Drosophila melanogaster: one gene and its partners. Changing the gene in region 4 together with the main gene of any one other region gives a genetic interaction. Each region holds a gene or a part of one and is shown on either strand. Other genes may lie near its edges.

Evidence for each region.
Region 1: of Galphao (region 4) and fz2, changing one enhances a phenotype caused by changing the other (phenotypic enhancement), as found in Drosophila melanogaster (one study listed by BioGRID).
Region 2: of Galphao (region 4) and Plc21C, changing one suppresses a phenotype caused by changing the other (phenotypic suppression), as found in Drosophila melanogaster (one study listed by BioGRID).
Region 3: of Galphao (region 4) and Dhit, changing one enhances a phenotype caused by changing the other (phenotypic enhancement), as found in Drosophila melanogaster (one study listed by BioGRID).

Annotation. Positions count from the first base shown.
Region 1 is NT_037436.4:19,232,337-19,237,089, forward strand, and holds the start of fz2 (frizzled 2), read right to left. Parts: upstream 3,038-4,753; 5' UTR 2,678-3,037; exon of another isoform or gene 2,469-2,677; intron 237-2,468; 5' UTR 1-236. Other genes in the region: CG33647 (uncharacterized protein), read left to right, coding at 4,024-4,098, 4,158-4,475, 4,542-4,721. UniProt on the Drosophila melanogaster protein: Receptor for Wnt proteins.
Region 2 is NT_033779.5:308,336-313,239, reverse strand, and holds the start of Plc21C (phospholipase C at 21C), read right to left. Parts: upstream 3,041-4,904; 5' UTR 2,635-3,040; intron 1-2,634. UniProt on the Drosophila melanogaster protein: The production of the second messenger molecules diacylglycerol (DAG) and inositol 1,4,5-trisphosphate (IP3) is mediated by activated phosphatidylinositol-specific phospholipase C enzymes.
Region 3 is NT_033778.4:17,791,141-17,798,629, reverse strand, and holds Dhit (double hit), read right to left. Parts: upstream 5,761-7,489; 5' UTR 4,080-5,760; intron 3,512-4,079; 5' UTR 3,504-3,511; coding exon 3,202-3,503; intron 3,035-3,201; coding exon 3,026-3,034; intron 2,745-3,025; exon of another isoform or gene 1,577-2,744; coding exon 1,499-1,576; exon of another isoform or gene 1,429-1,498; coding exon 1,367-1,428; exon of another isoform or gene 1,303-1,366; coding exon 1,014-1,302; exon of another isoform or gene 946-1,013; coding exon 861-945; 3' UTR 502-860; downstream 1-501. Other genes in the region: CG5033 (uncharacterized protein), read right to left, coding at 6,273-6,426, 6,490-6,785, 6,846-7,333, 7,397-7,489.
Region 4 is NT_033778.4:10,435,997-10,441,004, forward strand, and holds the start of Galphao (G protein alpha subunit o), read left to right. Parts: upstream 1-1,988; 5' UTR 1,989-2,110; intron 2,111-2,251; exon of another isoform or gene 2,252-2,355; intron 2,356-2,474; exon of another isoform or gene 2,475-2,496; intron 2,497-2,609; exon of another isoform or gene 2,610-2,741; intron 2,742-3,374; exon of another isoform or gene 3,375-3,378; 5' UTR 3,379-3,449; exon of another isoform or gene 3,450-3,517; coding exon of another isoform or gene 3,518-3,635; intron 3,636-5,008. Other genes in the region: CG12895 (uncharacterized protein), read right to left, coding at 753-1,023, 1,086-1,267, 1,324-1,341. UniProt on the Drosophila melanogaster protein: Guanine nucleotide-binding proteins (G proteins) are involved as modulators or transducers in various transmembrane signaling systems.

The DNA of each region.
Region 1 (4,753 bases), on a different chromosome or scaffold from region 4:
TCCTTTGATGTTCTCTTGGGCAGTGTAATTGGTATATTTTGTTTTTATTGGCGTTTAAAATTGCTATTTCACTTGGGTTTATTGTATTTCTATATTTATCGGTTTCGGATCGTATACGTTTGCATTAGCACGGCGCGGAACGGAATGGTTGCATTTTCGTATATTCTATATATAGGCGTTTGCTACATCAGATTGCTGATTATTTTGGCTGGAGAGATCCGCTTGATTTGACGAACCTGAAAAAGATATTGCCAATTAATTGTTGATCACGTGCAAGTGGCTAAAACAGCTATTAAATAGAAAACAAAGGACTTGCAGGGGGCAACCAAAACGCAGACGTGTAGTTTGCTGAAAAAAAAATTGAAAATAGAAAAACACAGACGACAGGTGTGAGTGAAAAGGTGTAACCCGGCCAACAACAACTAAATCAAATCGCAGGAAAATGCCTGCATTTTTCCTCTTTTCCCCTTCCGCCGCCCATCCATCGCTTGGCTGGATCTCAATGGGCTCTGGGGCAAATATTTTAAATGCGCAGATTTTTGGCATGTTTTAGTGGCAGTTCACGTTTTGAATTGTTGCCATGCCCCTCGGAAACGGTCCAACGCTCGTTTCACTGACAATTTAATACAAAAAATGCCAAACATTTTCACAAAATAAAAGGACCAGCACAAAAAGCCAACGTGGAAAAGTTTGGCAGTCGTATAGCGTGTGTTAACCCTTTAAAATACCCAAAAATATATGTGTTCGTACGTGTAAGCCGGGCTATGATAAAAAAGTTGTTTGGAGCGAAATTGTAGGTTCCTTTTTTATGAATGTGCTTTGCGAAGATATAAATGAGACACCAGTGGGTGTGTGGAATAGTTCAAAAGCCATTTGCATTAATGAAAAAGAAAAATATTTCAGTGAAATATTTAATACACTCAATCAGAAGGAAGTAGAGGGAAATTAAAATTAAGATTGGGTTTAATCATTACTTCAAAGAACTAAATAAATATTGCATAATTAGAAATAACAAGAAACAAAAATTAATTATTATTTAGGAAAATAATTAACCAAAATGACCAAATTTCCTATTTATTTAACCCAAACGCAAATATGAATAATATTCTTCGTTGGCCAGAGAATGTAAACATTTCTGCACTTATTGCTTCGACATTCCCTTAGCGTTTTGCATAATTTAACACACGGGTTAGGCTGTGACCCCTGCAAGAGCCACCCCCCGGATTTCCCACCCGCTGAGTCTGGAGCCCGGCCCCGCCCCCATTTCTTGCTAATACCATTCCGCCCCTTTCGACCAGAAGCGGTGCGTGTGCTTGCTGCTCCCATTGAAATGCCAGACTAACTCAATTAGAGTGCGCAGACAGAAGTTGAAGTTGAGTGTTACTTTGACTGCCGGCCAACATGCGAGTGCAAGAAAATATTTATAAATATTTCGAAACATCTGAAACTGCTCCTATTTAAAATGTAGGGAATTAAAGAATGCAATGATGTGGGGAAAAAACTTGAAGACGCGTCTCAATAAACAGACAGCCGGATAAAAGAGTAGGAAACTCGGCAAAAGTATCTAGATACTTTTTGCAGCTAGGTAGCTAGCTATGAGATACTCTCACAAAAACAGCAGCAAAAGCAACAGTGCTGTCTGGCTTGTGAACTCGACTCGTAAATGTACACAGAAAAAAATTGACCTGTCTTGGATCAATTCTTTATTGATTATTTACAACAATCTTATTGTTTTCAACATTATTCCACAAATGCAAAAAAAATCGTTCAAATTTAGACTTTAATTAAAAATAATATTGTCTTTGTTAATGAACTTGAATGAACTTTAATAAAGTGTAATAAGGTGTAATAAGGAAAAAGAAATAAATATTCGAACTTACATTTATAAAAAAAATGTGAAATTCCGAAAAACTTTAACAAAAATGGTCAAGAAATCAACAAGTTAAAAAGTGTATTTTTAGCGTTGTTGGAAATATAAGCTTATGTAAAGTTAAATATATTCTTTTATATTCTGGGCAAAAAAAGCAATATAAAGAGTATTTAGTCCTTTAAAGCTACGTCGAAATATCTACGTTTAACATTTGAATTTATAAAAAGTTTATGTTCTTAAACAAACAACAACTGAAACAAGATGTGTACACTCAAAATTTAAACTTATAAGTGGCTGAGTTTTCCTCCCTGTGTGCGAAAAACACAACAGAAAACAAAAATAAAATGCAAACAACGGAAAAGCGGAAAAAAAGAACTTGGCGTCGTCTGAGTTTAGCTCTCTGTGCTCTCTTTTCTTTTGCAGCTGTGTGAGTGTGTGGCTGTTGTTGTCTTTCCCATTTTCCCGTAGAAAATGTGAATGATTTTCCTTCACTTTCATCAACAGCTGCGCTCACACAAATGCAAGAAGTACTCATTTTCGAATTGCTTTTTGTTATTATTTTAGATACACAAATGAGTTAGCTTTTTCGTATCTTTACCGTTTGGCTGTGTTTTTGTTGTGCTGATTTTATATTTGTTGTGTTTTTGTATAAGTTTATTACTAATATATTTTTATTTGTTTGTATATTTTATTTGCAGATCTCTCGATTTCTCGGTTTTGTGTTCTTCGCCGGCTTGCTATTTTGCAAATGCCGCCGAAATTGCAATCAATTGCAGTTTTATATCTCCAGCTCACACAGATACTCACGCACACTCACACAAACACACACCAATGCGCGACGGCGACTGCGACGCCAACTGCGACTGCGGCGTCGACCGCGCTGCTCACGTCGTATGTCCGTTAATTAAACGCGCGATTTTTTGTTTGTTTCGGTTTTTACATATTATCTTTTCATGTGCTTCTCTCTTTTGTTTTTATTCCGCTTTGTTATTGTTATTAACTATTGTTATCAGCCCTCGGCGCTGCCAACGTCGACTGCGCTGCCTTTCGCGGCTGCTTTTTGGCTTTTTTTATTTCCCGTCTGCGGTGTAAGCGTCTGCGATTTTCACGTTTTTCCTTCTGCCGCGCTGTGTAGTTTTTCCGGTGATTTCCACTTGCCAACTGACTTTCTTCCGACTTTTCCAAACGGCCGGCCGTTGTTTTGCAAAATTCGCAGAGAGAGAGCGATAACGATTAAGAAATGCGGGGGAGGAAAAATAGAGAGATGGAATTACAAATGCGCCGGTCCAAAAAGCTCGCGAAACGATTTGGTAAACGGAACAGAGCTACGTGAAACGTAAGGCCTGCCCGGAATCACGTAACGTAATCACCAAACGAATCACCAAACGTTAATTTTTTGAAACAAGTTTCTGCAAAATAAATAAGTCATTATAAAATATATTAGAGCTATAAATTTATGCAATGTTATTAACGAAAATATTTTGTATGCTAGACTGGTCGAATGGACCAATAAAAAAGTAATTTCGCACCACTTATTCAAAATATGATGAAATCGTCCTGAATCTAACCAAGAAATTAGTCATAGAAATCAAAAATAAATTAAATATAAATGCGTAATAGTATGGATAGCCCATTTAAAGAAGAATTAATAGGTATCAAGATAATTACTTCAAGGGCTTTGATAGAAATTATATTCAGTAAAATCGCGTTCGCAGTAAAATAAAGAAAACGTATAAGTTCTAGCTAAATCATCACTCATCTTAAACCCGTTTTTCTTTTTTAAGAATACAAATTATTTCAATATGTTATTACTAGAAAACTATTATTAAGCTGATTCTAAATGCTTCATATTCGTGCAAATTTGTTTCAGATCTCCCACTCTAATCCGTATTAATTATTATAATATAATATTATAATATATTATAATATAATAATTTTATAGTATTATTTTATACTATTAGTACTTTGCGCATCTCCAACTTGAAAAGTCCAAATAATTTACCGATATTAATGTTCTATCAACAAAAATAAGCAATTACAAATTAGGTAATACACTAATTGAGCACATTAAAAACCCATTTATTTTAAAATATACACACCTACGTGCGTTTGAAATGCATTAGATTTTAGTCTTCAATTAGTTATCCACTAGTATGAACGTCAAAAAGCTTTTTATATTGGTTGACCTGATTCTGGGGACCCTAATCTTGAGCAGTGTTCGTGCAGAGGTCAGTAGTATAGAATCATATATGTAAGTCCTACTACATTAACCTATCTCAACGTATAGAAAGAAGTTTTTATGACGAAAATTGAGTGCCTCAATTATATGCCAGAATTGGTGAGAAACGTAAGCTGCTACTTAAATGAAACTTCCCACCCCACTGGTTCAATATACGCAGAGTTCATATTAACCCAAGATGTTGAGGACCTGAAGGGCATTTACATTTTGACATTTAAGAGAGGTTCATACGTGACGAATTTTACCTCTTCACATGTAGACTATTGTCAGATGCTATCAAGTGTGGAAAATCATTTTTTATTTAGAATGGTTACTACGCAGCTTCGCGAAACCGCCAATTTTCCTATACAATGTCCGTTGAAAATGGTAATTAACACTGGTAAGAAATTGTATAAAACTCTCTAATATCGTATTTTGGAAATTGTGTTTTAGAATAAACGGTATTACGCAAAGGGATTTACAGTTAACTCGAAATTTATACCCAGCTATATGCCAGAAACGAACTTCATTTCGGACGCCCATTTAAGCGTTAAGGATCGCAAAGTATTTCGGTTGCTTATTAAAGGTCGCTTTTCTAGAATACTTCGGCGAAATTATATTAAAACCGAATAGATCACTATATAAATCAAAATGTGTAATTGCAA
Region 2 (4,904 bases), on a different chromosome or scaffold from region 4:
GGCACTTCAATTATTCGATATGTATCCTTCTTCTCTTTTCTGCGGGTCTATAACTTTAATGTCAAACCATCGCTTTGATTGCGGCAAGGTTGGTCAGTCAATTTACGACAGCTTTCCACGTCAACTGTGGTCATGCATAATCAAGAATAGGCGACAGAAGCGGGAAGGTGGGATTTTACATAAAGCCACCGCAAACAAAATGAATTTGTGACAGAAAATGATAATTATTAATTAAAACCGCGTTTCAGTGTCACCGCAAACAAACTCCAATATATTCTAACACACCCGAAACACGTTTGCGCGCACAAATTTAGTTCTATTTTGTTTGTACGCCAAGAATTAAAATTCGGTATAGCATAAAACGAATTTGTGATACTCTTTCCAACAAGCACTCTCAAAACACAACGATTAGCGTAACACTTTATCTATTTGAAGAGAAATGTTGATGCTGAAAGTAAGTAAATTCGATAAACGAAATACAATTAGAATCCGGGTGAGCTTATCGCATAAGAACGAATACTTAATTTCTGAGTAACGTTTTCACTTAGTCTATTGTTTTAAATTTAACACTTCCGTATATGTCTGCTTCTCTTTTCCATTTTTATCGCCCTTTTATCTAGTTTGTCAACGTTATCAGTCTGGGGACAGAGCAGTATCAGCAGAAGCAGAGAGAGAGCAGGAGTAGGAACCCCCCACACACACCACACCCCCACCCATGTCGACCGGATTGTCCGACGTATTAGATTTGACGCTTCATTATAATGATAGATCGCTGTGCAATGGTCTATCACCAGGAGCAACCAAATGGGTGCCACACAGCGAGAAAGTCGCGCTCCAACATTGTTGGTCAGGTTAAGTTACATGGATTTAACAACAGGTTCGTTTTAAGATACACAAGCCTGGACTCAAATGGAAATGTATACACTGTATACACCTAGAGCAATACTACGTACATTTATAGGACTAGGGAAATCATTTATTCACCTTTTTGTATTAGGTTTGCATATTCAAAAAAGTTCCATACTTTACATATCCTTAAAACCACTATATGCGTTTTTCAGAAGAAAGGGATACAGAACTATTTTGACAATCGAGGTCTTGCCAGTATGCAAACAACCTTTTTCCAGTGTACGTCCATACGTACGATAGTTGTTTAATTTTCCCAGTGACCTACGTTGCGTATGCGCGACTTTTATTCAGTTTTGTATTCTCGCGTTGGCGGCTGCTAAATAATTAATGAGCAGCCTCAAGTGGTGAATCGGATGAGGCGGGTAGAGAATGAAGATAGAATGGAAAATGGAAAACCGAGTGGAAGTGAAGCAGGAGCAGAGGCATGGCCATGTCAGCATAATTAGCCAAACACTCACCCACGCAGACTAATTGTCCTTTCTGGCGCTTGTGTCCTTTAATGCCTTAATTGTGTTTGAATGATTGAAACTAGCTGCCTTTGAAATGGAGGCCGAGGGAGACAAAGGGGCGTGGTGCAGCAATCAAGTGGGATAATTGCATATCAGTGGTGCAGCTGATGCCTCAACTTGATAAATGCCTCGAGTGGCAACTGAAACAGGACCTAACTGAACACACAAGTGGATGCTGCAAAATGGAAGCGGAATAGCAAGAAGGCGAAGACACAGAGAGCTGGCAACTTAAAGCGTTTCGCTAATTGGCACCAGGAGCTGATGTGATATCTGATGCGCTACTCATTAGCTTTTTGCAGCTTCCCGCTTCGAATTCATCGCACAGATTGGCCATAACCTGATAACAAGCTCGAATCGGGGTTCTCCAACGATTCCCCTTTCAATTGGGCGACGAGGCGCTCCAAAATTGAATGGTTGCTAATTGCTAATAAAATTGACTTTTTCAGTATAGATGAATGTTATACCTTTTAGGTTACACTATGGTATGGTATTTCTTACTTATAACATAAAACTGTGAAGAACCTATATCCACCTCTGACTGGCCAATACCCATTGCAATAACTGGTTTGGTTTTTTTTAGTTTTCCAAACGTATTTAATGTCCTAAAGGCCACGTATCGTTGGGAGATCTCAAATCAAAAGCTGGCTTTGCGTGATTCACGAGCCACCCAGTGAAGCGTTATCTGCCCCGTTCTCGGATTTCCAAGCCAGCAGTATCTCAAAGATTTCGAGATACGCGCCACGCCACGCCACGCGCTCGGTACGAGTTCAAGTACAACTGGCAATGGCAAGGCAACAGCGGCAGCGCCGCAAAATCATTGACAAACGCCTTTCGTCCCCGCGACAGATCACTAGCTTGGCTATCGACAGAGATCTTTCAAGTTTTCCAAATCAAAAGCGAAATATTTAAACTTGAAAAGGAACGAGAATGGAAGCGAGGCACAACAAATAATTTGGCGTAGCTCGAATAGAAATCGACCAGTTTGCCTATAACGGCAGACGCACGATGGGGAGAAGGGGGCAACAGCATTTTTCAGCACAATTTTCAATTAGGCAGCCGTGAAAGAAAACGATGCTGAACAAATAAACTGAATGAGATTGTATTTTAATTTAATTTTGTGTGTGCGGTGCTGAACTCGAGAATCGTTTTCCTCCGCCCTCAAAACTCAACTCCCTGATAAATCCGCAGAGTGAAAAGGTTCTGTTCGGTGCGTTACCTGTGCCAAAGTTTTTGACTTTCAGATGAAAACTTCGTTGAGTGGAATTTGTATTTCGTAAGCAGCGAAATTTCAATTTCAGATTTTGCACCCGCTGGCAAACGAAGATAACCTCTCCGGTGGTAATGGGATTTTTTATTGGATTCGCTCTCCTATTTTAGTTTAGCTATAGTTTTTAACTGTCGGCTTAGTCACAACGCACAGATACGGAGAAACACACACGCACTCGGCTGCTGCAGATACGGATACGGATTCTGGGGACCCGGAGAGGGTTCCTCCGGAGAAAATCTCGGGCGGGTTTTCGGGCCAAAATCTTCCGCTAATACGACCGAACGCTTCGGCGAACGACGAATGTCTGTTGGGAAAATCTATGTGGAAATCTCAATGCTGCTGAAATGCAAAAACGAGAGAGCTGAAGCTTCTCAGTCTCGCACATTTCGCCGCGAGCTTTTACCATGTTACACACTTCTCTGGCATTTTCTCGGTTTCTCCCTGAGAACCTCTCTCTGTTTGAGAAGCTTTCTCTCTGCGTTGCCAGGTTTTGTTTTTGTTTTGGGAAAAGCGTTTGCGGCGAAATGTTCATGTTTTGATAACGGGAGAACGGTCCCCCCCCTGTGGGAACCCTCCTTTTAGAGGTTGCAAGGTGCGAGGGGTGGGGTTATGTCAAGCGGGGAATAATTTTCAAATAAACAAGCCAGTCCGGCAACAATGAGGCTTGAACCGACAATGCCAGGCAAACGCAAACCCCCTTGGCGAACCAGAATTGATAATAGTTGCTGAATAGTTTGGCAAAACCTTCGGTGGAACTCGGGGAACGGAATGTTTACTTGGACAGCGCCGTCACATCGCATCGCCTAATCAGCGGTTGAAACGGCCAGAAAATCAAATTAAAATTGCCAATTTGGGCGTTGTTGAGTGGGCCTCGCCTCGCCTCGATTTGAATTTGAATTTGAGTTTTGGTTTTGTCTGCCGCTACCCATTGCAGCCGGGAATATATATATATATTTATTTAATTTTAATGCCCCGACATACGCCGTACGTGAGTACAGCGTCAAATCGTCCGGTCTCGGAACGCGCGCATGTGCCACAAAAAAATAGAGGAACAAAAACCGTCGAGAAGAGGAAGCCCAGATATATGGGTTCTGACTGTTCCAATACCCTCGCTCAACGAGTGCTCTACATCGCATAACGTGATGTTCCGCCCATGTTTCGACTTTGTTCATGCATCACAATGCCTGTGACTTAGTTAGGTAAGAACTTTTTTATGCCCAAGCGTAGGAAAACCTTTTGTGACATAACAAAAATGTAAAAAATAGATCATTAAATTCATACGTAGTCTGCGAATTAAAAGAGATTCTACACCTATATCCCCCGACTGACGGATGCTATAGGGTATGAAAATACGAAAATATTAACGCGAAATAGGAAATCAGAGATCGGCCAAAAAGTCGGAAAATATGTCAGCGCCGAGGGGCAGCGGGAAAGATGACATCCAATATGCGGGAAAACATTGAAGACCTGACCCACATATTTCGTTGGTGGTTCTCCTCAGTTTCCTTCCACCCTTTCCACGACTTCTGCTTTTGCCCTCCAAAAAGTGATTGACAAGGTGAGACAAATTCTTCTGCATCTGTATCTGTATCTGTCTCCGTCTCCGTATCCGTGTATTGGGACTCCACAGCGGCGACAGTTGCAAGATGCTCCCCCTCCCCCTCCACCCTCTGTTTTGTACGCTTGATTGATTGCGGCTCGGCGTCCCCAAGGTCACTAGGTGGACTACAAAAGATATGCAAATATTGGGTGCCGAACGAAAGCTGCGGGCGTGACTCACGACCACCCATCGGGGTCACCAAACATCCCCCATCCCAGTGGGGAACGAGCTCGGCCATAGGATCGACAAGCAGTCATAAACTCGAACTACTTATGGCAACTAGCAATTCTCATTGCATATTTATTCGGCTATAAAATGCGAAAGAGCAGCCGCACATGGGATCACATGGCATTCCATACCAAGCGATCCCTAGATCCCCAACTAAATAAATTTCAAAATTGTTTATTTTCTTCCAAACAAATCAGCGTGCATTAAAAACAGCGAACAGAAAATTTGAAATCCAAATAAAACATTAACATCCGGTGGGAATCGAGCGGTCCCAACTCACGCCGCCTTTCCTCACGTTGCGCCCACTGTGAGTGGGTGGTGCTGCTGGCATTGTTGTTGTGGGTGGTGGTGCTGCTTTGAAGTGGGGATTTACAGGTGTTTTATCTGCCAG
Region 3 (7,489 bases), 7.4 Mb from region 4:
GAGGCTTCTCCTCAATCCAATTTGCATTTGATTTTTAGTCTTAAGCTGAGATCCAAAGAATAAAGTCGTGAAACTATTTCTCCTAAAAACTATTTTTTATTTCTTGGCGTTGTCCTTAGTCAACTGACGGGACATTAGTTCGACTCATAAATAAAACAACAATTTTACTATATATATATATATATATATATATGCTGGTGTGTTGTATATATAAGTTTATAAAGTTTATGTATGTAATACGTTTAAAAAGATTTTTTGGTTTCTTTCCTTCTTTTTTTTGTAATGTTTTTTTGGAAAAAGTATTTCTGTTACGTTGCGGTTTATGATTACGTTTAAACATACTTATCAGTTAGCGGGTTCCGTAATCTTGGTTTCAATTTGATTAATACGTCTCTTAGATCACTAGTATTACAATGGATGCTATTTGTGTCGCTCGTTTCGTATTAGCTTTCTGGGTATTTTTTTCTTGTTGTTTTTCTTTCTGTTTTTTTGTTTTTTTTTGGTTGTTTTGGAAAATGCTTTCTGTGGTCGAACCTGCTTCTTAGTGAAAACATATTTTGTAATACCTAACTCTTTGGTTAGCTAACGACTAGAACGTAGGAAGAGAAAGGAATCCGATTCACATTGAACGCACGACGTCTGATTCACCGGCCCCAACCAGGATCCTGATTTCGTGGCTGCTCGCAAAATGGTTAAATGGTTCTACTAATGGATACATATTGCTTAGTCGATTGCAGCAGCGATTGGGGCGGAAAATCAGAGATATACCAGTGGAGAGCAACAGCGGAAGTCAACACAGCGCAACTGAATTCGATCCAAATCCAAATCCAAATCCGATCCGGGACATCAAGCCATCCTCTCTAAGTTGGACTATCCGCTTTGGAACCGGCATTCGAGTTGTCTTGCAGTTGAGCTAGTGTCTTGAACTTTTGAGAGTTTAGGAATCTGTTGAAAAAGATACCCCGTTTAAGTATAAATACAGTATCTTTTATTTTTGCCTAAAGAGCACTCACCTCGGATATGAGTCTCTGTGCATCAGTGTGTAGATCTGGATTTGAGCTTCGTCGAAGGTGTGCGTCGTGGGCTCGATCATGTTCCGGTTGACAATCTCGCGGACCCTGGAGTCCAGCGACACCTCCCTGGGCGACAGGATCGAGATGTAGTCCTCGTAGATGAGGCGCGCCTTCTCCTCCACCAACTCTGGGCTATTCTCCTTCTTGAGATCCTCGCAGGCCAGCCAGAATAGGATGTTCTCCTCACTGAATTCGCTGCGCAGGAAGTTCTGGAACACCTTTCGACCAGCTGGGAAAATATTCGGCCAACCACCAATTAGTTTGGATCAAGGTGGCAATTGTCAATGGCTTACCTGTACTTTTCATCAGCTTGTCAAAGCTTTTGCCCCAGCTGCGGATTTCCTCCAGTGTGGGTCTGTAATGTACAAATAAATGTAGTTTTTCCGTGGCTTAAGTTTATTAAGTTGATTGGTGCTCAAACTCACTGCTCGCCATCCAAGAATTCGGCATTTACCAGATCTCGCTTCGTGGGGGCATTTTCATCGGCATTCTTGATGGCCAGACTGTAAAGATAAGAAAAAAGGGAAAAAACAAGGGGGGTTTGCTTGTTAAAAGTCGATTATTTTGATTTTACAACTCATCAATCACCCTTTAAAGTATACTACAATTTTATTCATCGCTGAATTGGCGCTCAGCCTGACTCATTTTTAACTGGCACAAAATAGCATAAATATGTAAGTACAGTAGCCGCTCGATAACGTAAACTTTTAGATAGCGCAAGCTACTGATTAGCATTTTATAAAACACTTGCACCAAACATAGAAACTGAACATAAGCGATTCTACCACATTTTAAGCTAGAGAGTTTAAAAGTTACTCATATATCTGAACGCGATATAAAGATATAATGCCTCGAATAAACACTGTAGATAGGCTAATGGCATATCGGTTTTGGGTTTCGAAGCCCGGAGACAGAGCAACGGAGTACTCGAACTTGACATAAAGCTCTCTTATCTGGACGACAGTTATCAGAGCGACTCGCTGGCCCAATACCTAATCAAAGTCACACAGGCGTACATATACCCCTATACATATATGAATCAAATTAGATGCGGCCAGGGGGGGTTTGAGGCGACATCGGGTGCTCTGAACTGGGTTTTCGGGGCGATATACCCCCAAGTTGTGCACACAAAGGTGCGGACGGGGGGTTGCGAGTTGGCGGCGGGTCGCAAAAGACTTTCGTTTTCATTCACGAAAACATGCAACACTTGGAGGAGTCCGCGGAGGAGCCGCCACATACTTATTTATATTTGATTTGAAAAGTGCCCTCCAGAGAGCTTTTCGCTGCCCGTCGCCTTGCTCACGGAATTGTGAATGAATGCGGGAGAAACTGAGAGAGCGGCACCAGTGCTAAAGAGCGTTTCGTAAGAGAGAAAGCGGAGAAAGTTCGCATGGCGGAGAGAGAAAGAGCTTTTGGATGTTCAGCAGCGTTGCCAGCTGCCAGCAGAAGGCCACCTTTACCGTGTCCATTTCCATTTCAACTTCCCTATCCATATCCATATCCATATCCATGTCAGTGGGCACAGCCATAGCCGAAGCCAAAGCCAAAGCCAAGCAATAGTTAAAGCCAAAGCAATAACCATAGCTGTAACCGTGGCCACATCCATGACAGCACTGCGAGAAACATGGACTAATAATATTTCGACTCTCTTAAAAAAAGGGCTCAAACAGACAACCTTTAAAATGAAATGATTTATAAAATAAAAAAATAAAAAATTTGCAAAAAATTGATATTGAAATAAGTAAAAATAAATAAATTAATTAACAATAACGATGTTAATGTAACCAAAGATTGGTTCATCTGTTATAGTATATCTTGAAAATAAAGCTAACTAGGTAAAATAATTACGTATTTAAAATAATTGCGCATTTAATATTCTATACTTTACAGTCCAATAATACCAATCGATTCTCTCGGTGTATGAATGCATGAGTGTTTCAGGAGGTGCTTACCATTTGGCCCTGTTGTCAGGATGTGGTTGGCAGTGGATGGGTATTGGCACAGGTAGTTGTTTTAATGACCGAACGGTTGAGTCAAGGCAGCGCGGTAACGAGAAAGAAATTGATTTCGTGTCAGAGGATTCGAGCGGTGCACAAATAGGCCACTCGGTGGTGGCCTCCATACTCACCAGGAGCAGGAGCAGCAGCAGCACCAGCAGAAGCAGCAAGGCTTCTGCGACTGCGGACGCTGAAACGTGGTCGCGTTCGACTCCTGCAGCACGTTGGACGTGGAGCCGAGGATTCCCACGCTGCCGCCCACGGTGGGCGATACTCCGCCCAGGCTGCCGCCACCTCCGACGACGCCCCCGCCGCCACCGTTCCCATTGCCATTCCCATTGTTGCCACTATTGTTGGCGGCACTTTGCTGTGAGGATGCAGTCATGCCGCGCAATCGACAGCCACTGGGCAGCTCGGAAACGGTGCAGGACATGCCGCTACCTGCAATAAAGGAACAAATTGAAACGTTAATGAACACTGTGCACGGGATGGAGTGGGGGGAAAGTGTGCTGACAGTTGGGCGAATCACAGTCACACTGCAAAAAATAGCTCTATTAGTCATCTAGAAAGAATTGTTAACCAAGGTGCCCGGAACTTAACTACTTAATTGTCTTGGCTGGTGAGTGTTTGTCTTTTTGGTTTGGATCCCATTAATTTGACAAGATGTCATTCAAAAGATACTGAAACTGATTCATTATATTATAAATATTATTATAAATATTATATTTATATTATAAACATTATATTCATAAATATGTTATTTGAATCTAGTCAAAACACCTTTTAAATAAAATTGTAATATTTGTTCTTTGCATTTATCACAAAGAAACTTTATATGAAATTAAAGATTAAATAGTAAAGAAAACTGTTGAATTATTAAAACATTGATTGTTTGTATATTTAATTTACCAAAACTATCAAAATATAATAAATACATATTCGGGAAAGTGTAATCTGGAGGAGTAGGTCCAACTGCTCCCGATTCGCCTCGTTTTCCGTGTGCACTTACCTGCCCTTTGAAAGTTGAGGTTGACGCTGGCGGAGCTGACGGAGATGGTGGAGGTGGAGATGGTGATGGGTGTTGGGTGGTGAGGTGGTGCTGCCCCAGCTGGCGGACCGCCCACTGCCACTGACCTACCCACTCACCCGCTCGCTTTGGTGCTCTTTTCTTTGCTTCGGCTTCTCTTTCTCGGCTTCCTTGGGGATGTGGGGTATGCAGGGAGACCGTTACGTATTTATGTTTTTGCTAATAATTTTTTATCGAAAGTTCCCACACACTCTCTCTCTCTCTCTCTCTCTCCCTGTGGCGCTCTGTCCTCTCTTTCTCGCTCTGCCCACAGCTGCTGCTCTTGATTTTAGTTTTCGTTTTGTTTTATGTTTTTTTTCCTTCTCCTTAGCTTTTCCTTGGGCGATTTTACAAGCCGAAAAATTCCAGAAATTCTTCAAGATTTTTTCGATAACCTTTTCGAGTAGTAGTTATCCTTATCGTAGGTTCCTGACTTCAAACCTTCGCGTGGGTTTGGTTTCCGTTTTTTTTTCTAGGGGGTCTAGCGTTTCTTTAGAGAGTTGACGGTGCGCGGGTGGCATTTACATATTCCGCTCCGGATTTACGGGCGAAAATCTAGCGATTCAATGGCCCCGTGCACCAAGGGGCACATTTCACAAGCGTTACGAAATTTATGAGCAGCTGGAGCTGCCACCGTAGTTGTTGTTCTGGCCTTTATTTATTTCTTGTGCTAGTCATTACACTGCCATTGTATATGTACATATATATGTAGGCGCCGTTGTGTGCGTGCGTCTGTGCGTGTGTGCGTGAGGAGGGGGTGGGCTGGAGTACCACCACATTGACACGCAACTTGGCTAAGTGGAGCGCATTGTTTGGCCCGTTGGGCGGATGGGGCGTATGCGTGATTTTCTCCACTTGTGCTGATGTTGCTGCAACAGCTGCAACATGTAGGCATCAGCAGCTAATTGCACTTGTTTGTAACTCGAAACGCCAGCGATTTTTGGTCGTTGCACTTATCACAAATCAGCTGCTTGGGTTCTTTTGTTGACCATTGCCTTTAGCCTGGCTATCTATGTATATTATATGTATATTTTGTTTTATTTTCTTGTTGTTGAACCAGCGCTTCCGTTCAGATTTTCACTCAAACACCACACACACGTTTATATTTTCTTTGAGGATTTTTGGGCGAATGGGTGGGCGGGAAAAGGGGGTCGCGTTTGTATGTATGTATGTTTTTGAGGAGCAGCGACGAGTACATACGAATTTTTGCCACTAGAATCGGAATCGAAATGTGTATATTTGTATATATTTTTCTTTTTCGCCCCGAAATTGTTTTGCTTGTGCTTCGATTTTTTTTTTGTGAATTTCTTTACGATTTTTTTCGTTGACTGTTGAGAATGTGTGTGTGTGTATGAATACGAATTGGGGGAAACTGCAATTTTCGTGGTCACTGGACTGCCTGGACTGGCATTTTCACATTTTCACATTTCGCCCTCGGCCATATTTTATTATATTCCTTCGTGCTCGGTGCCCCCGCAATGGCAGCCAATTCCCATTCGATTTCTGCGCTCTGCGATTTTGGCTGCTCAGCACCAGCAGCACCCAGAAGCTGAAGCCAAAATCCTCGACGGGTCGATTCGAGCGTTTCGAGATTCTCTCCGCTCGGGCAAAGGCAGGCGACTGATTTCCAAGCAGTGCCGTGTCGCCAGCTCTTGATTTTGATTTTCCAATGCGCGCGCTCCTCCCGAGGAACGCAAGATAACGGCGAGTGGAAAGTGGGCAGCCGGGGGAGGGCTCCATAGGTGGACTGAGCGAAAAGCTTTGTGGAATTGCTATACAGTTAGAATTCCTGGTACACACAGGAGAGGGACTGACAGGCGGAGAGCGCGAGAGAACGGACGGTAAGACATGTGCGCGAGTCGGAAAAAGAGAATAAAGCTCGGGACTCTTCGCCCCACTGGAATTTACCGCAAAGCTTTGGGGCCAGAACTTATAAACTTTCGGCAGGGTTGCACTTACATTTTGATTTTGGGATCCCGTTGATTTCGAAAACCGTTGTTTTTAAAATGTTCGAATGAAATGGTTATATGAAATACTTTACTTTTCATAAAAATTAATATATTTTTTATTTACTATTGAAATTTCACAAAACTTTCGGAAACTAAAAGAAACTTTCTTGGGGTTTGTACACCTAAATTACGTGTATAGTCGGATGGTACTGTCCGCGCCCGTGGAGAAGACCCATGGCTGCACCGGATGCCAGTTAACATCCAGCACACCAAACTCATCGCGTTTCTCGTGTGTTTGCAGCTTCTTGAGAGGCACAATCAAAGGGTTTTGCAGCAGGTCACTAAAAAAAAGTTTGGAGAAATTCGTAATTAACCTTGGGCAATGTTGATTTATAGCCACTTACTTATAGACCATGCCATGGGAGACGATCACAGCCTGGTCATCGCTGCCGGAAGCAAAGAGCGGATATCGAAGATGGAAAGCAACACTGCGAACTGCATTGCGATGGAGTCGCATGGTCTGGTAGGGCTTTGTGGACAGATCCAAATCGAACCAGAGCATCTTTTTGTCATAGGTGGACACCAGCAGATTGTCGCCCTTGGGATGAATAGACATGCCCGATATCCATTTGGAGTTGGTCAGCAGCTTCTTGACAAGCTCTTGTTTGACCAGATCATAAATGCGAATGTTGTGTTGCGTCTGTAAAGAAAAAACAGAATTCAATAAGACATACTAACAAAAGAAAATTAACCCACTTACCGCCACAAAGAAGCAGGGCTTCACCGGATGGAAGAGCACGAATTGGATGAGACCCTTGCTCTTGGAGAATGGAATCTGTGAGCGCCGCTTGGACAACTGATGAATTAAAGCCGAGCGGTTAGCACCTTCGGGCATCACTGTGGCCAAGTAGTCACCACGACCGTGCCAGGTCACCTGTCGGATGGGTTTGAAGTGGGTAATCACTACGCGGACGCCCTTCTCCTGCTCATCAGCTTCCGCATTTGACCATTGCACCGCCGTCTTGATGCGTTCACTTTCAATGACATCCTGACTGGGCGCCTCAGCCAAGAGATCGTCGGTCTTCTTCACCAGCACCTTATCGCCCACTTTAGGATTGACGAGCAGCAAGCGATTGCCAGTGGCCACCGCAATAATAGACAGCTTGGGATTTGGACACCAAGCCACACAGCGTACCACTTCGTCGGTCTCGATTGTGCGAATGCAACGACCTGTTGCAATTTCCCAAACTGTGAGGTGAGATGGATTAGTAAGAAGATATCTAAAAGGTTGTCAATTAAATTAGTACTTACTCTTGACGGTTTTATCATCCGAACCGGAGACGAGGTACTCTCCCTTGGGCTCCACACTAACAGACCGCACCAGATCGGTGTGGCCACGGTAAA
Region 4 (5,008 bases):
ACCCTTGAAATTGAATTAGCCCTTTGTTTTTCGCTTCCACCGCCCGAAACACAACAATCACACACCAAAATATAATCTAGAATTGATAGTGAAGGGACTAGCCTGGAGCAAAAGCTGTTCAATCATCTCCTTAGCATGTTAATATAGAACCGAATCCATAGTTAACTGGTAGACATTCGCGTTTTAATTCTCCGTGTTTTCAGCGATTTTCGATGGACTCCGCGCCATCCCGTGTCTTGTGGCAAGACTAAGCAAAAGCAAATGAACATTTTAAGTGTAATGTTTCGCTATAGTGTTTAAGCGTATTAAAATTTAATCTATATATACAAGATTGGTCATACACACATTCGGCAAACATGAATAGAATTTAACTGGATAATCGTTTAAATATATTGTATGGATGTGTATTTCAGGAAAGCGAGAACTGTGTTTTAAAGGGGGTTCAAATTGGATTAAATATATGCCATTCTGACAATGTGTTCAGTTTTATATATTAAAATTGTATCTTTTCAAATGTCATGATTTGTTGATTAAGCTGAAGTTTTCAACAAATAAAAATAAAAATGAAAGCACATTCAAATTACCAAATCACTTGCAACCGTATTATTTATTATTCCGTATAAATGATCGTTTTTAAATACCAGGTAAAATGCAAGTTCAAGTCATTGGTCTTTTAAGGATCAGGAGTAGAATAACACATTCATTTAATACATTGTTTTGTATGCTTATATATATAATATAGTTTATAATGTTCACAAATCCGGCTGCCTTATCCTTTGCACTTTTTCATGATTTTTGACGTGCTCCTTTAGCAGACGCATTATTTCGGTATCGAATTGAGGAGGTGTTGGCTTGGTATCGGTGGCCCAGTAGAATATATCCCAGTCGTTGCTGACACCATTGATCAACTGATCGTACTCGGCGGTCTGCTCGGCATTGAAGTCCTTCAAATGCTTGGCCACAAAAGTGCTCAGCAAGAGATCGTTTTCCAGCATTCCGCGTTTCCTGCTTTGATACAAAAGGCTGCACAAGATAATGAATGATCATAAGTAGGAGTTTGGGATATTTTCATTTTAAGCGTATACCGCTGCTTGCGAGTTTCCAGCGGCTCATCGGGACGGACAGGATATTCCGGAACTGGCAAATGCGGCGGATCATCGTAGTCCACAATTTCCCCGGGTGTTGTGTACTCAGTTTTGTCCAAATTGCTGGCGAGGCGACTTTGGGCCATCATAGGTAGTTGCAGGCGACGGCCTACCGTAGATACCTGTGTCCAATTAAGCAATCAATTATATTTTACTACATTTGGGGCCATAAACTTACTATAAATTGCCGCAACATTTTAGGAAACGACCAAAACAATGATATAACGACAGTGTTGGCTAAGAAAGTTAAGTATAATCGATAGATTCCTGCTATAATAATCGGCTGTTGCTATAAATAGTGCTGGAAAGTGCACACTTTGTTGAATTAATCATTTATTTTATTTAACCGTTCAAACCTCAGGCGAATTTAAATTAAAATAGTTGTTTTATTTTAAATATGAATATATTTGGGAGAATATGCACTGCAATTGTTATGAAAGGTATGCGAATTTTTAATAATTATTTGCAATAATATAAATAAAAAATATATCTCTATTTGTATCACTTAAAGCTCAAATATTGTATTCATGAGATCCTTTTGAGTGGCCTGCTATTTAAAATCCAGATAAGTTTCAAAACATAATAAAAAAATAAATGTCTGTACATACAAAGTGATGCAAAATATTTATTGAAACTAAAGTGAGCATGTTCTTTCATATTTATATAAAACATTTTATTAAATTATATGTATATAAATAGCGGAAGATTTTAACAAATTTAAATTTTTAAATATAAGCTTGTTTTGCAGCAGCTGTTGTTGCGGCCAGTGCTGGTCAACAGCCACCCCCGCCGCGTCCAGTGCTGCGCACCGACGCCGCCAACAGCTGTTCGAACGCCTCGCTCTGCAGTTGGAAAGAGCGAACGAAGCGAGAGAGAGCAGCTAAATTTTCGCACACCAGAAAAGTGCAATTTACCAATATCACTGCGGCCAAAAATACAAGTGCAAGTGCTCGGCAAGTGCAACGGTAAACTATCACGATCGGTGCAATAAATACAGCGAGTCGCGAAAAAGAAGCGCAAAGCGAACGGAACCAATAAGAACAGCCAAACGCAAAAGAGAGCCTCCTGCACACACACGCACACAGCAGGCTGAAGCAGACCCACACACACGCATACACTAGTGCGGTGTGTATACGACTGGAAAACTAGGCGGTGGTAAATGTGAAGCTGAAAAAAGCTGAAAAAAAGGAAAAGGAAAACTCGTGGGGTGGTGGGTGGCGGCCCAGTGGGCGGGGGGTGTGGCGTGTGCAGCGCGTGAGAGTGCGTAGTGCGTGCGTGTGAGTGAGTGAGTGTGTGCGCGCGTGTGAGTGAAACAGCGACAAACTAAATGAAAATTTATACATCCGAAATGGTTAACAGTTTGCATAAAAACGGCATTACTTTTTGCATATGTTAATGTGCTTAGGCAAACGCTCGAAAAAGAAAACTCCACAACCCACCGCCTTTTTTTCCACCAACCCGGCGCTTTTTTAGCGCCTACGCCCACGCTTAATACATACACACTGCATAAAAAACATACAAATAAAACCAAAAAAAAAAAAAAACAAACAAAATTTATAAAAGTTTTATTAAAAGTGTGACAACAAAAAATAAGTGGTATCCAAAAAATAAGCTTGAGTTTTTGGCTCTTTGACCTCGAGACTAATTCACTTACATGATAAATTACCATCGTTCTTATCGCGATCCAGCATTATCTGATGGATTTATCTTATCAGCGCGATTGATGAATTTTGTATCGATATCGCAAACATGCTCCATATGCAAATTAGCTGGCTATCATTGCTTTTATTTTTACTTTGCGTCTGCTGATAAAAAACAAAAGCAACATAATTGATACAGTGCGCGGCCCATTGCACAGACAGTGGCGGTCATAAAATTAGTGCTTGTCTCAGTACAGTACAACATCCATAGAGCGAACGATGTGTTCCATAAACCTTGTAACATCAGTTTAAAATAATCTTTTTAACTATTACATACAAATTAATATACAGCTGTGTTTCTCATAATAGTTGAGTAACAGAAAGAATATTACAATTACAATTACAATTTGTGTTTATACACAGCAGACAAAATTAATTTAAGATAACTCAACATTATTATTTTGAACTCGGCTGTATATTTAACACATCCTTGATATTCATTGGTTCGCCTTATCGATCGCGCACTGTTTATAGTGAATCATCCGCTGACCCGTGTATTTGTTATTGTTGATGGGTTCAATACTCCATTTCAGTTGAAATCGTTAAACTGTACATAAGCAAATAAGACATAAAGAAAAAAGTCCAGGAAAATTGGAAAACAAAAGCCCGAAAACCGAAAAGCCCCGTGTAAATCCGAATCCGAATCCAAATCAGTATCCAAACCCAACCACAATGGGCTGCACCACATCCGCCGAAGAACGCGCCGCCATCCAGCGATCCAAACAGATCGAGAAGAATCTAAAGGAGGATGGAATCCAGGCGGCCAAGGACATCAAGCTCCTGCTGCTGGGTAAGTGCACTTTTCGTCGCTTTTTCTCGTTTTTCCACTTGGGTTTTTCTCACCGGAAATGGAAATCCTGCTCAGCGTTTACCTTTCCACTCGACTCGACTCTATTGTTCGTTCTATTTTGGTGGAAATTGCTGGTTTATCTATCGGCCGCCAGATTCCGGGGCACTTGGAAAATTTTATTTTCGGTTTTATGTGCCGATAGATAGGGGGATATTTATTGCACACACTTTTACTCTGCGGCGGAAATGCTGGATGTACTGGACGCAATTTTGGATTAGCTGCTCTTCAATTTCCATCAAGGCTTATATCAGAGTTCACATTTTTTAGAAGATTCAAAGACTGGAATAAAAGTAAATTCAAAAACTATGATTTTTGTATGTACTGACTGGTTATTTAAATTAAATGTAATGACTTGTTGCCCCACAAAAGGAATCGAACTCAAGGTTATTCCACTCTATTTGAGTGCTGATGAATCGATTCCATGACAAAACTATTTTTAGCGTGTTTTTTTTGGCCAAGGCGAAACCGAAGTAATTTGGGTCAACTTTTGGGTGTTGCATGTGGCATGGATATCCGAAAATAAAATGGACTCATGCACCACTGTGCATGCAACATCTTAGACAATGGCAGCAGCAACAGTTGCATCCGCCCTCGTGGCAGGCGAGTGTGAAAACCTAAACAGTTTCGAGGAGCCATGTGGCCTGCGGATGACTCGGTCCGATTAAAGTGGTTTCAGTACCAAACAGTTCGATAGTGATGAAATAATTACAATGTTTTTAAAAAATATATAAAATAATGACTAGAATTAGCCAAATCTAAGAAAACAGTGCAAATTATCTGAACATAGCTTAAGAATTTAAAGATGCTAAAAAATCATCATGTAGATATTGTCTTTGCTGTCATCTCTATCCTGCATCAGCCTGAATCTCATCGTCGAGTGCATCTGTGAGCTGCAGCTGCAGCCTTAGCCTTAGCCTTAGATTTTGTCCAAGTGCGTCTGCATCCGCCAAAAGATGAGGGCAATCGACGCCACTTGACATTGAAACAATTGCACGTGTGTGCCAGTGGGCGGGTGTGCACCATGTAGCATGGTTTCGAGGTGCAGTGTTTGTTAACCTGGTTGCGCCACTGACACCGAAATGTCAGTTAATCCCATTGACTTTGACTTGCCCCCGAAAACGAGATAGGGATGCAGTCAGGCAGAAAAAGGACAAAGCTGCAATATGCACGGGAATTTCTCTTTCACTTTAACATTGTACACAAACATGTTGCGAAAAACAAGCAAAATCTCCATATCGTGGATGCACTTAAAGCAGCATTCAAACAAACCAAAAGTTAAAGATATAAAGTTTACAAAACATTTAATGCTTAAA